2 linked regions of the Caenorhabditis elegans genome follow. The protein of the gene in region 1 purifies or fractionates together with the protein of each later gene. This does not show direct contact. Each region holds a gene or a part of one and is shown in the gene's direction. Other genes may lie near its edges. The genes, in order: akt-1 and wdr-48.

The links.
Region 2: the proteins of akt-1 (region 1) and wdr-48 fractionate together in Caenorhabditis elegans (co-fractionation; one large-scale study listed by BioGRID). This does not show direct contact.

The regions. Positions count from the first base shown.
Region 1 is NC_003283.11:10,246,922-10,253,376, forward strand, and holds akt-1 (Serine/threonine-protein kinase akt-1), read left to right. Parts: upstream 1-1,983; 5' UTR 1,984-2,034; coding exon 2,035-2,138; intron 2,139-2,933; coding exon 2,934-3,042; intron 3,043-3,116; coding exon 3,117-3,305; intron 3,306-3,350; coding exon 3,351-3,512; intron 3,513-3,557; coding exon 3,558-3,755; intron 3,756-3,919; coding exon of another isoform or gene 3,920-4,111; intron 4,112-4,405; coding exon 4,406-4,612; intron 4,613-4,755; coding exon 4,756-4,884; intron 4,885-4,931; coding exon 4,932-5,294; intron 5,295-5,350; coding exon 5,351-5,530; 3' UTR 5,531-5,924; downstream 5,925-6,455. Other genes in the region: rop-1 (RNA-binding protein RO60), read right to left, coding at 5,995-6,291, 6,348-6,455. UniProt on the Caenorhabditis elegans protein: Acts downstream of PI3 kinase age-1 and kinase pdk-1 in the daf-2/insulin receptor-like transduction pathway.
Region 2 is NC_003281.10:4,576,833-4,582,341, forward strand, and holds wdr-48 (WD repeat-containing protein 48 homolog), read left to right. Parts: upstream 1-2,049; coding exon 2,050-2,235; intron 2,236-2,288; coding exon 2,289-2,415; intron 2,416-2,466; coding exon 2,467-2,558; intron 2,559-2,605; coding exon 2,606-2,800; intron 2,801-2,846; coding exon 2,847-3,053; intron 3,054-3,100; coding exon 3,101-3,288; intron 3,289-3,332; coding exon 3,333-3,505; intron 3,506-3,550; coding exon 3,551-3,657; intron 3,658-3,707; coding exon 3,708-3,806; intron 3,807-3,859; coding exon 3,860-3,953; intron 3,954-4,007; coding exon 4,008-4,155; intron 4,156-4,206; coding exon 4,207-4,398; intron 4,399-4,447; coding exon 4,448-4,733; 3' UTR 4,734-4,854; downstream 4,855-5,509. Other genes in the region: Serine/threonine-protein kinase sel-5, read right to left, coding at 1-121, 223-335, 383-535, 601-936, 1,025-1,130, 1,178-1,299, 1,383-1,439, 1,487-1,595; F35G12.12 (26S proteasome non-ATPase regulatory subunit 5), read left to right, coding at 4,963-4,998, 5,046-5,146, 5,193-5,301, 5,384-5,509. UniProt on the Caenorhabditis elegans protein: Together with wdr-20, binds to and stimulates the activity of the deubiquitinating enzyme usp-46, leading to deubiquitination and stabilization of the glr-1 glutamate receptor.

The DNA.
Region 1 (6,455 bases):
TCAGAATATAATAAGCTTTCATCACTCCCACTCCTAAAATACTCTTAAAATTCATATTTCTTTGTTGTTTCATTCAGATGTAAATTAGTGTTCTCCCCTTAAATTTTTTCCAATAATATTCACCTCATAAAAAGCAGGGACAATTCATTTTTTGCAATTGTCGCGAAGCCTCTTCGTTTTCGTTTTGGGATGTAAACAACTCTAGCATGTACTATCTCGCTCTGTCTGCGGCTCGACGCCGCGCCTGTTCCCTCTCTCCGTCCGGCGTCACCGATCATCCATTCCGCGAAGCAAAGCACGCGCGGCCTTTGATCGAAACGTGCACTTTTCCGTACTGCTGTATACTACTGGCAACACCGATATTCGTGCCCGATATCTAACTCAACCGGAGTCTGGCAACACAACCGTTTTTTTTTTCGTTTTCGAACGTTCCTGTTTAAAAAAAAACGTTTAAAAAAGCTTTTCAATGCTTTCAAAAATTAATTAGATAGAAAAACTTTGTTTTCTATTTTTTTTTTTTTTTGGAGATTTCATCAACAACCCACATACTTTCTCTTTTTCCTTCATCAAGTTGTTTGTATTCGTCTCAAGACCGTCAGTTCAAGACCCGGTCTAACCCTATCGGCGCCTCTGTTTGTTGCTTTTCCTTCTTATTTTCCGGTTTTTCTCGCGTTCACTTAATCAAAAAATCATGGCATTGAAACCACATTCGAAGATTTTCTAATTTTGTTACTGAAAAAAAATCTGAAAAAGTGTCTATTTTTCAAATATATTCCCAATTTAACAGTTAATTCGTTATTATTATGTCTCTAATATATCGTTCCGATCGATTAAATTTAGGCACGTTCCGTCTGCGTCTTTCCACGTATGTGCTCCAGTTCCGCTCCTTCTCCCATGGCGTAATCACCCCGCTTTTTTGTATGTTCGTATGCCAGTCGTGGTGCATAATAATCTGTTTCTCTTCGAAAGCTCAGACAAGAGGCAGTGGCCTAATCACTAACTGCGAAAAGTGTATCAAAACCTCTCCTCTTGTTTTTACGTGATGATAATCCGCGTGGTTCATCTCTTCCTTTCTCATTCTCCGTCTCTTAATGTTTTCTCACGATTAATTTTTTTTCGTTTATAGGGTTTCTAAAGTGGCTTATAATTCAAGAGAAATTCTAGAGAAATAATAATTAACATGATTTCCGTAAATTGAATGCCTAATAAGGTTGAGTTAAAAACCAATAATTAAAAATAAGTCGTTTTTGTATATTTATACAGCCGTAAAATGGTTCTCAGACTATTGAAAATTTATCAACTTCAACCAATATGGTCTTTTTTCGCTTGTATACTTCGGCTCTCATAGTATCCCTATTCAAAAATTGTTTGCCGTTAATTTGTTATTCTATTTCACGTTGTTTTGTTGATTTTTCGATAACAAAAGTGCTCGTACATCACAGGTAAACTTTCTGTTTGCATGTTATACAGTATCGATGTGTATAAAATGCCAGAGATCAAAAACTTGAAATTTATGATCAGTGGCATGGTGTTATCGTAGAAATAATCTTGTTTTCCAAGCGGGCAATTCCAGAAAACCGATATTTTCTTTCTTATTTTCCACTGGTTGTCCGTTCCCGTTATTTCTGCTTCTCCTATCTCTTCCTTGTTGGAAAACAAAAAACCACAGACGAACACTCAGAAAACGATATTCTGAAGCAGCAGCGTTACTCATGATGTTGTTGCTGGGCAGTGTCTGAAAATGTTTTCGTGTTCTTGTTTCCGCTGAAATAGGGTCACCACCTCTTTTTTCTCTAAACTCCTATGTCTCTCTCTTCAAATTCTGTCAATTTCCGTCCCTCTGCTTTGTTTGTCACAAAACTCTCTCGTGTGTTTTTTCGCTTTTCTTTTTTTTTATGTTTTCCTTCATTTTCGAATTAAAAGTGTTAAAACTGATTTTCTTAAAAACATAATGAATCTCGATCAAAAAATATTCTAATTTTCAGTCGAAGACGTTACTTCTCCCGAAAGGTTTACGACGGCGCCGGTGAAAGAATGTCGATGACAAGCTTGTCAACGAAGTCTCGAAGACAAGAAGATGTTGTCATTGAGGGATGGCTTCACAAGAAAGGAGAGCACATTCGAAACTGGAGACCAAGGTTTGATTTTTCTATCGGTACTGATCATATATTACCACTGATTCGATAATTTTTATGCTCGAAAAAGTTAGTTAATGATTTCACATCAAAATTTATCTTGAAAACTCCGATGAGTCTTGTTCTCGTTAATCTTTTTATTTTTGTTTTCTACATAAATTCATATATCCGCTTCATCATATACGTCAACTGATTTGTTTTTGCCGCGCACTCGCTCTTATCATGCTTTTCCGGCTGAAAAATCTTCATAAACGTTTTTATGAAGGGGGAATGATGTGACTTCCTGGTAGAGCAGATGATTCTATGTTTGCTACGCTACATAGTACAACTATTCGCTTCAGAATATAATTATTTTCAAACGACTGAAATTAACCGAAAATTAAAGATATCTATGAAATATTCACGATTGCTAAAAACGTATATCATTTTCCTAACAGACAGTACATTGAAAAATTGAATAATAGCAACACGGAAGTGAAACTGTTGTGATTACAGAAAACTCAAAAAATGAAAAACACGATTTTGTGCAGTATTTTTGGATGGTTTTTTTGTTTTTGAGTGTGCATGTCTTCTATCCATAAGTATGTCACCCTTCTCATTTAATGTTCCAAAATAATAAACACATGTGAACGGCGAGTGAGCGATGCGAAAAATAATCAAATTGAAAAAAGAGAGAATGAGTGAGTGCGGAAGTTGAGAGTGACTGAAAACATTTTAAAAAGAAACTCGTCAGAGTGACATAACAAAAAAAACAAAGATGATAAAAGATTGAAAGTTAATGACGTAGAATAATTTCAGATACTTCATGATATTCAATGATGGAGCCTTACTTGGATTTCGAGCAAAGCCTAAGGAAGGACAACCGTTTCCTGAGCCATTGAATGATTTTATGATCAAGGATGCAGCGGTAAGTAGAGATGAGCTTATTTTTCTAAACATCATTCTGCAAAATCATCTACTTTTGCAATATTTTATTTTCAGACAATGTTATTCGAAAAACCACGACCTAACATGTTCATGGTAAGATGCCTTCAGTGGACAACTGTCATTGAGCGAACATTCTATGCGGAGTCGGCAGAAGTTCGTCAGCGTTGGATTCATGCTATTGAGAGCATTTCAAAAAAATACAAAGGCACAAATGCAAATCCACAAGAGGAATTAATGGAAACCGTAAAAATTACACCTTGATCCAGCTTTTTTGAAAAATTCTTTTAGAATCAGCAGCCAAAAATTGATGAAGACAGTGAATTTGCTGGTGCAGCGCATGCAATTATGGGTCAACCATCTTCGGGACACGGTGATAATTGTTCAATTGACTTCAGAGCGTCTATGATTAGTATTGCTGACACCAGCGAAGCTGCTAAAAGAGACAAAATCGTAAGAAAACCTATCTGATAAAAACCTTTGCAAAAAAAATTACAGACAATGGAAGATTTCGATTTTCTCAAAGTGCTCGGTAAAGGAACATTCGGAAAAGTTATCTTGTGCAAGGAAAAGCGTACTCAAAAGCTTTATGCCATCAAAATTCTCAAAAAAGATGTAATCATTGCTCGCGAAGAAGTTGCTCACACTTTGACAGAAAATCGAGTTCTTCAAAGATGCAAGCATCCGTTCCTTACGGTATGTTTTTTATAAAACTATTTTTATTTATTGATTCAGTTCACTCACTTTTGTTTAAATTTTAACCCCAGCACGTCCTTCTCCTATAATCTTCTACCCCTGAGAGTACAATTATTGTCGTAATTTTTATTGTTTTCCCATAGTGTTTGTGGTCGTATTTTCAGGAACTGAAATATAGTTTCCAAGAGCAACACTATCTTTGTTTTGTGATGCAGTTTGCGAATGGTGGAGAACTTTTTACGCATGTACGTAAATGTGGAACATTTAGTGAACCAAGAGCCCGATTCTACGGAGCCGAGATCGTTCTTGCTCTCGGATACCTTCACCGATGCGATATTGTCTACCGTGATATGAAGGTTCGACGATGAAGAATCTGAATGACGAGCCGAACATAGATTATTTTGTTTCAAAAATGTTTTACAACTATCCGCAGTTGAATTTTACGTAGGATAGCAAGATTCAAACACTTAGAACGTTATGCTATCAACTTATTTATTTTACATTGTAAGTAGTAATGTCTCAGTTTATGTCATGCTTCTTTTTTTTCTTCTTATGGTAACGCTTCTTTTCCGATTCACTAATTTATCTTCTTAGTTCGCAACCCTATAGTTTTTATTCTCTTTCCACGCTTTATTTCTGTATTACTGCAGGAACTGAAATACTCGTTTCAAACAAACGATCGTCTGTGTTTCGTAATGGAGTTTGCCATTGGCGGTGATCTCTATTATCATCTAAATCGAGAAGTGCAGATGAACAAAGAGGGTTTCTCAGAACCTCGAGCCCGTTTCTATGGCTCTGAGATCGTCCTTGCTCTCGGATATCTTCATGCAAATAGCATTGTTTATCGAGATTTGAAGGTTAGAAAAATGTTTATTTATAGAAGTAGAATACAGTAGTCACATAGCGGATAGTTGTAGAACATGTAAAAACTAAGAAAACTATCGGCTCGCCATTCGGATTTTCCCCAAGTCTGTATACAAGTTAAATTATATTTTTTAAGCTTGAAAATTTGCTTCTTGACAAAGATGGACATATTAAAATTGCGGATTTTGGATTATGTAAAGAAGAAATCAGTTTTGGTGACAAAACAAGTACTTTCTGTGGAACTCCGGAGTATCTTGCACCAGAGGTAAAAAAATCTCACTCACTTCTCACATTTAAATGTTTTAATTGCAGGTTCTTGATGATCATGACTACGGACGTTGTGTTGATTGGTGGGGAGTTGGAGTTGTGATGTACGAGATGATGTGTGGAAGGCTTCCATTTTATTCGAAGGATCATAATAAACTATTCGAACTTATCATGGCTGGTGATCTAAGGTTCCCAAGCAAGTTGAGTCAAGAAGCTAGAACTTTGCTCACCGGACTTCTTGTCAAAGATCCAACTCAGCGATTGGGTGGTGGACCCGAAGATGCATTGGAGATTTGTAGAGCAGACTTTTTCCGTACTGTCGATTGGGAAGCAACGTACAGAAAAGAAATCGAGCCACCATATAAGCCAAATGTGCAGTCAGAAACTGATACTAGTTACTTTGATAATGTGAGTTGACTAATACATTTTAAATTTTTTCACTAGAAACAAAGATTTTATTTTAGGAATTCACATCTCAACCAGTTCAACTGACACCGCCTAGTAGAAGCGGAGCCCTTGCTACAGTCGATGAGCAAGAAGAAATGCAATCAAACTTCACACAATTCTCATTCCACAATGTTATGGGAAGTATCAATCGAATTCATGAAGCAAGTGAAGACAACGAAGATTATGATATGGGATAATTTGACACCACAATGGCTTGAATTTAATTAATTGCGATTTTAGCCTGTTTTGCAGACTGTAGAAAACTGACCCCTTTGTCTGACATTCAGATATCCTTTTTTAAACAAATATTTAGTCGTTACAGTGACTATATTTTGATCTATTCTCAGTAAATATCGAATTAAAATGAGAAATCTCTTTGTTTTCATCTCTTCCTGTTCTGCCTCCTTCCCTTTGTATACTATCCTTTTTATTCACCTGAGACCGTAGTTCTTTCCATTTCAAAATTCCATCATCGTTTTGTAATATTACTCACAAGCTACGGTTGTGAAAACCAAATAGCGCCATCATTCGTGGATGTACTATGTTCCTATATCATATCCAACAATCCAAATGAAAGAATTTTATCCTCGTATTTTTATTATGGAATGACAAAATATGAACAAAGAAACATGCGAAATAAATAACAGATCAGTACTATAAATTAGATCTTTCCAGTAACAAACTCGTGAACAATCTGTGGTACAGCCGAATCGAATCCGGTAATGTCGAGCATACCAGCATCAGATGGATCGGCAATCGAGTAGTCATATGCCTGCATTGCCATCACAATGACCTTCGCGTCATGAATACCAGAAGCTTCACGATACTTTTTGATGGCTTCGAATGGATGAATCTCTCCAGCCCAGGTATCGTTGTCGGTGTAGATAATGAAGACATCAAACTTGAGATTATTTTCTGTTGCCCAAGTCATTGGAAGGCCACAATCTGTTCTGCCGAACTGAAAATTCAATAATTTAATATTAAATTCAATATTAAAATCATTATGAAACTTACATCAAGGTTGTTAACGTAGTCATTAACTTGTCCGATCTTCCAATCCTTAGTAAACGGAAGCTCAGTGAGCTTATCACAGAAGGCGACACATCTAACTTCGGCTTCATT
Region 2 (5,509 bases), on another chromosome or scaffold:
AGCTTGATTGAATTGGCGGAGCTTCAGGATTTCGTGGTGATGAATCTCTTTTGTTACGTGGATTCGATCCATCTCTCATCAATTGAATACATGATTTTAATGAAGGAACTGCGTCGGTGCACTGAAATATTTAAATATATTGAATTACTTGAATAAAACGACCAAATTCAATGATCATAGCTGGTCAAAATTTTACTAAAAAAATATGTTCGGTTGACTAACTTTCTTATTTTGAATCTCTTCTGAAAGTGGTTTCCGATGATTCGCTTCAAACGCCAACACTGATGTTTGATATATCGATGGTCGCCGATTTACGTCGATATCGAGAAGCATGTCTAGAAAATCAAGTATTTTTGTTCGTATTTAAATATCATTTTCTTACAAATCAAAACTTTGATCTCGTCGGGAATATTTGGAACGGATGGAAATTGATAATTGACAGATTGAATTGCTAACGGTGATTCTTCGAAAGGAACACAGAAAAAGCATAGCCTGTATAGAAGAACGCCCAGTGCCCAGATATCAGATTTTAGGCCTGAAAAAATAAAGAATTCGACTTTTTCATTGCATTCCTTCAATTTTTTAATACTAAAAACGAACCAATCTCTAATCCACTGTAAAAATCAATCATTTCAGGCGATCGATAACACATAGTCGTATTCCTTTCCACTTCTGACTTCACATATTCTACTCCATACTTTTCCACAGATAAAATTTGAGTGGTAGCACTTCCAAAATCGCAGAGAACGTAATGTGGTGGTTTATGGGAAGAAATGAGTACATTTTCAACTTTTAAATCGCGATGAATGATAGGTTGTGGCCGATTATGAATGAAGGATACGGCTTCACAGAGATCCGTGAAAATTGAGAGAATCTCGTCGTTTGTTAAATATTGGTTTTGAGATATTCTTTCGTTCATCAATTGCAAGACGTTTTCTGGAAAAAATATGATGATTTTTCAAAGTTTTCCATGTTTTATTTAATATTTTAATTATGATTTATTTTCCGGTGTTATCTCACTCACTTTGATGATATTCTGTCAACAGCATGCATTCCCAAATACCATTTCCAAGGCAATTTGTATAACTGTCAACGAATTCCACAATATTTTTATGACCAATACATTGTTTCTGAAAGATCATACAACATTTGCAAGTTTATTCGAGCTTCTTCTCACCAGAAAACTGTGCTCTCTGCAACATGCCTCCAGCTGTTTCTCATTGTCTTTGGTGAATTGACGTTTCAAGGCGAATTTATTGTTTTTTCTATCGCTCGCAACGTAGACGATTGCAAATCCACCTGGAAGAAAAATATTGCGAAATATTCAGAAAAACAAGAACAATTATGGAGTTTAATAAGAGGATTAAATTTAAAAAACCTACCTTCGGCGATTTGCTTCTCTATAGTGACTCGTGTATGGTCTAACTTCAATGTGACACCTGAAAATTCAATTAAAAATGAAAGAAACTGTTAAATGTTCAAATACCTTTGCATTTATTCTCACTTAATTGTTTCGGTTCCTTTTTCTTGCCTCCAGGAATTTTTTCATCACACAGAACTTGTGCTTTTCCAGAGCTGAAAAGCCCTAGAGGCATGGCTTTTCGCCTGAAATTAGTAAATTTTAATAAAAGAGTTTCAATATTTGATGAGAGTGATATCGAAAAACGAAAAATTTTCATCAAAACTAGATTTTCTCGAGCGAACAAATTGATCGACAGGAGAAAAGAGTGTCGGAACGCAGGGAGGCGGGGCGCAATAATGGGCGTGGCTGAATTGCAAACATGCGGCGCAGTTTTTGTTGTCTTTTTCGCACAGAGCTCTTTTAAAACATGTTTTGTTGTTTTTATTGACAAAAGTCTATAATTTGCCGTATACTTTTGTTTTTCTTCATTTTTTTTTCTGAAAACCATCATAACATTCTATATAAGATACCGTTAATTAATTTTTTGCATTAAAAATAACTTTTTTCTCGCAAATCGATGAATCTTTTAACTAGAAATATTTGTCATCACTATTTTCCAGATCTCAAAAGGCGTTCAATGCAATAAAATGAGTAGCTGTGTAAATACCAGTCAAACTGGTCCAAAAAAGAAAATCTCATTTATCATTCGCGATGAGCACGAGTATTCAAATCGTTCGGCTGTCAGTGCTCTGCAATATGATGCACAAAACGGAAGACTGTTCACTGGCGGCAGTGACACTATAATCAGAACATGGTCAGTGCCACACCACAAGGTTTGATATATAAACTATGAATTCTAAAAAATACCGAATAAATTCATGATCAGGACGCTTTCTCGGCACGTGGCGGAGTTCGTTCGCCAGGAAAGAATTCTCCAGTTCAGTATCAAGGATCATTAGAACAGCATACCGATTGGGTGAACGATATGATTCTTTGTGGACATGGAAAAATTCGTGAGTGGTTTTGCGATATTTCTGCAAATTATATAAATATATTTCTTTCAGTAATTTCGGCCTCAAATGACACAACTGTCAAAGTTTGGAATATCGAACGGGACAACAAGCACGGATTTATCGATTGTATCCGAACTCACAAGGTTTGTGAAACTTTTCTCTTTAATTATTAAGAATGAATAAAATTCAGGACTACGTTAGTTGCTTGGCCTACGCACCGATTGTAGAGAAAGCTGTGAGCGCAAGTTTCGATCACAATATTTTCGTGTACGATATCAATGCTAACTTCAAAACTGTAAATAATCTAATTGGCTGCAAGGACAGCATCTACTCACTCGCCACAACTCCTAATTTATCGCTTGTTCTTGGTGCTGGAACGGAAAAGGTGAGGAATTTTAGCATTCTAGCCTTCTACTAGTTTTTATTTTCAGTGCATTCGCCTTTTCGATCCAAGAACCAATGAGAAAATAATGAAATTACGTGGTCACACAGATAATGTACGTGCGCTGGTGGTCAATGATGATGGAACACGCGCACTTTCTGCTGGATCAGATGCCACAATTCGACTGTGGGACATTGGACAACAGAGATGCATTGCCACGTGTATTGCTCATGAAGAAGGAGTTTGGACTCTTCAAGTACTGATCCTCTCTGATAAAATCTTATTAGAATCTATGATTTTTAGGTTGACTCATCGTTTACAACGGTTTACAGCGCAGGAAAGGACAAAATGGTTGTGAAAACTCCGTTATATGATTTCACTAAAAGTCAGCTTCTGTTCAAAGAAGAAGCCCCTGTGAAAAAGTTACTTTTAAGTGAAAAAGATAATCCAGTATCTCTTTGGGTCGGAACCTGGAAGTCTGATATCAAGCGGTAAAAGAATTATTTTATTAAAAAAATAAACTTTCAGTTTTCAGCTGGTCCATCCGCCCATCAGCCCAACTTTCGATTGGAGGAGACGAAGATGGTCCTTCAACTTCAAATGCAAATCACTCAGTATCAGCTTCATCATCACCTCCAGTAACATTCAAGTATATCCGAGTGAAGGATCAAAAAGGACAACAGAGCACACCAGAGCTCGTTATTCCTGGTAAACAGACTATATGCAGATATAATTTTTAATCTGTTTATTCAGGCGCTCCTGCCATCAAGAAACATGCCATGTTGAGCGACAAACGACACGTTTTGACACGAGACTCGGATGGAAATGTGGCGCTATATGATGTTTTAGCAGCAAGAAAGGTTTGTCCCCATTATTAAAAGTTACTACTTGAATTTTGATAAAATTTCAGATAAAAGATTATGGAAAGCGAATATTTGAAGAAGTTGTCGATGAGAACTCTAGGCAAGTATACATTCCAAGCTGGTTTGTCGTTGATTCAAAAAGTGGAGTGAGTTTTAAGTTTTATAAATTTTTGAAAAATAAAACCCTATTCGATTTCAGATGCTCCAAATCACTTTGGACGAGCTGGACGCTCTCTCCTCGTGGCTTTCATCAAAAGACGCAGGTTTTGATGATAATGATCGAGAGACAAAACGTAAGATATTATACGAAAATAAAAACTTTCTCATTCCTTTGTAAGAAATTATAGTGAATTACGGTGGAATGATGCTACGATCACTCTTCGAACGATGGCCACCTTGTAAAATGACAAATGTTGATGCAGCTGATGCAGATGATGTGCAAAAAGCAACACTGAATTTTATTTCTCTACCGGAACACACACCGCTTATTATTTGGTAAAATTATTTGAAGGCTCAAATTTTAAACATTAAAAAAACTAATTTCAGCGAAGGAAATGGTCGTCCGCTCTACCGTCTTCTTGTTGGCGACGCTGGGAAGGAGTTCGAAGCAAATGAGCTGGCACAAATTGCACCCATGTGGGTTATAGACGCAATCGAACGAAATCAGCTGCCGAAATTCAATAAAATGCCATTTTATCTTCTTCCACATCCGTCGACAAATCCCAAACAGCCTAAAAAGTTTGTGAAAACGCGGGGTTCATTCATTAAAATTTTGAACTATTTTCAGAGATCGTCTGTCAGCAACTGAAATGCTTCAAGTTAAGAAAGTGATGGAGCATGTTTACGAAAAAATACTCAGCACTAATGATGGTAAGGTATTTAGAAATAAGAAGATATTAATGGTGTTTGAAGATATTACAGTTGGCTCGATTCCACTAAATCAAATTCATACAAAAATGGAAATGTACTGCAATGATCAGAGGTTGGAGCCGGATATGGATTTGCGAACAGTCAAGCATCTCTATTGGAAGCAAAGTGGAGAGCTTCTTCTACATTATAAACCAGTTAAATAGCTTTAACATTTAATTTAAGTTATTTATTTGAACATACTTATCTAACATTTGTACTTTATTGAAAATTCACTGTCTAACTTCTTTTTTGATACGGGTAAAACCGACTTTCAATTAAATTCCATGCTCTTTCCATATGTCTTTCTTTCTTTTTTAAAATTATGATGGTTTAACTACCAGCTTATCTTCATTTCTTGCTTAATATTTTTACCTCCTACCGTATTCGTTCCAGATGGCTAGTTTGGAAGAACATGAAAAACTGATCGAAGTAGGTTTTATTGAAATTTCTTCCAATTTTAAGCCAATTTTTTTCAGGAGTGGAGAAACGATTACATCGCAGAACGCAGTTCGAAAAAGGGATGGGAGATTCTGGAAAAACTTGCAAAGATGCAAATTGAAGCGGCTCAGCAAATGGAGTACGTTAAATGAATATCAGATAGTATCAAAATGAAATTATTTCAGAACAGAAGATGACGTGGCCGCTGCTGATTTTGATGACTTCAGCACCAGCAAGCTTGTAAAATTGATTATTGGAGATATTTCAACCAAAGATCTTCTTGTCGATCATCAGGTACCTGACATCAATTTTTAGACTATTCTAATCTAATAAAAAAAAATTCTAATAAAAATTGTAATATCTCAATCTTTTACAGATAATTCTTCTCGAATTCATTCCATCTGCACATCCGAATATTCTTCGCCATGTAGTCCGCACAGTCCGTGAGAAGGAAGGAGCGATTTCCCTTTTGAAGTCATCATCGGTTGCAATTGGAGTTGCA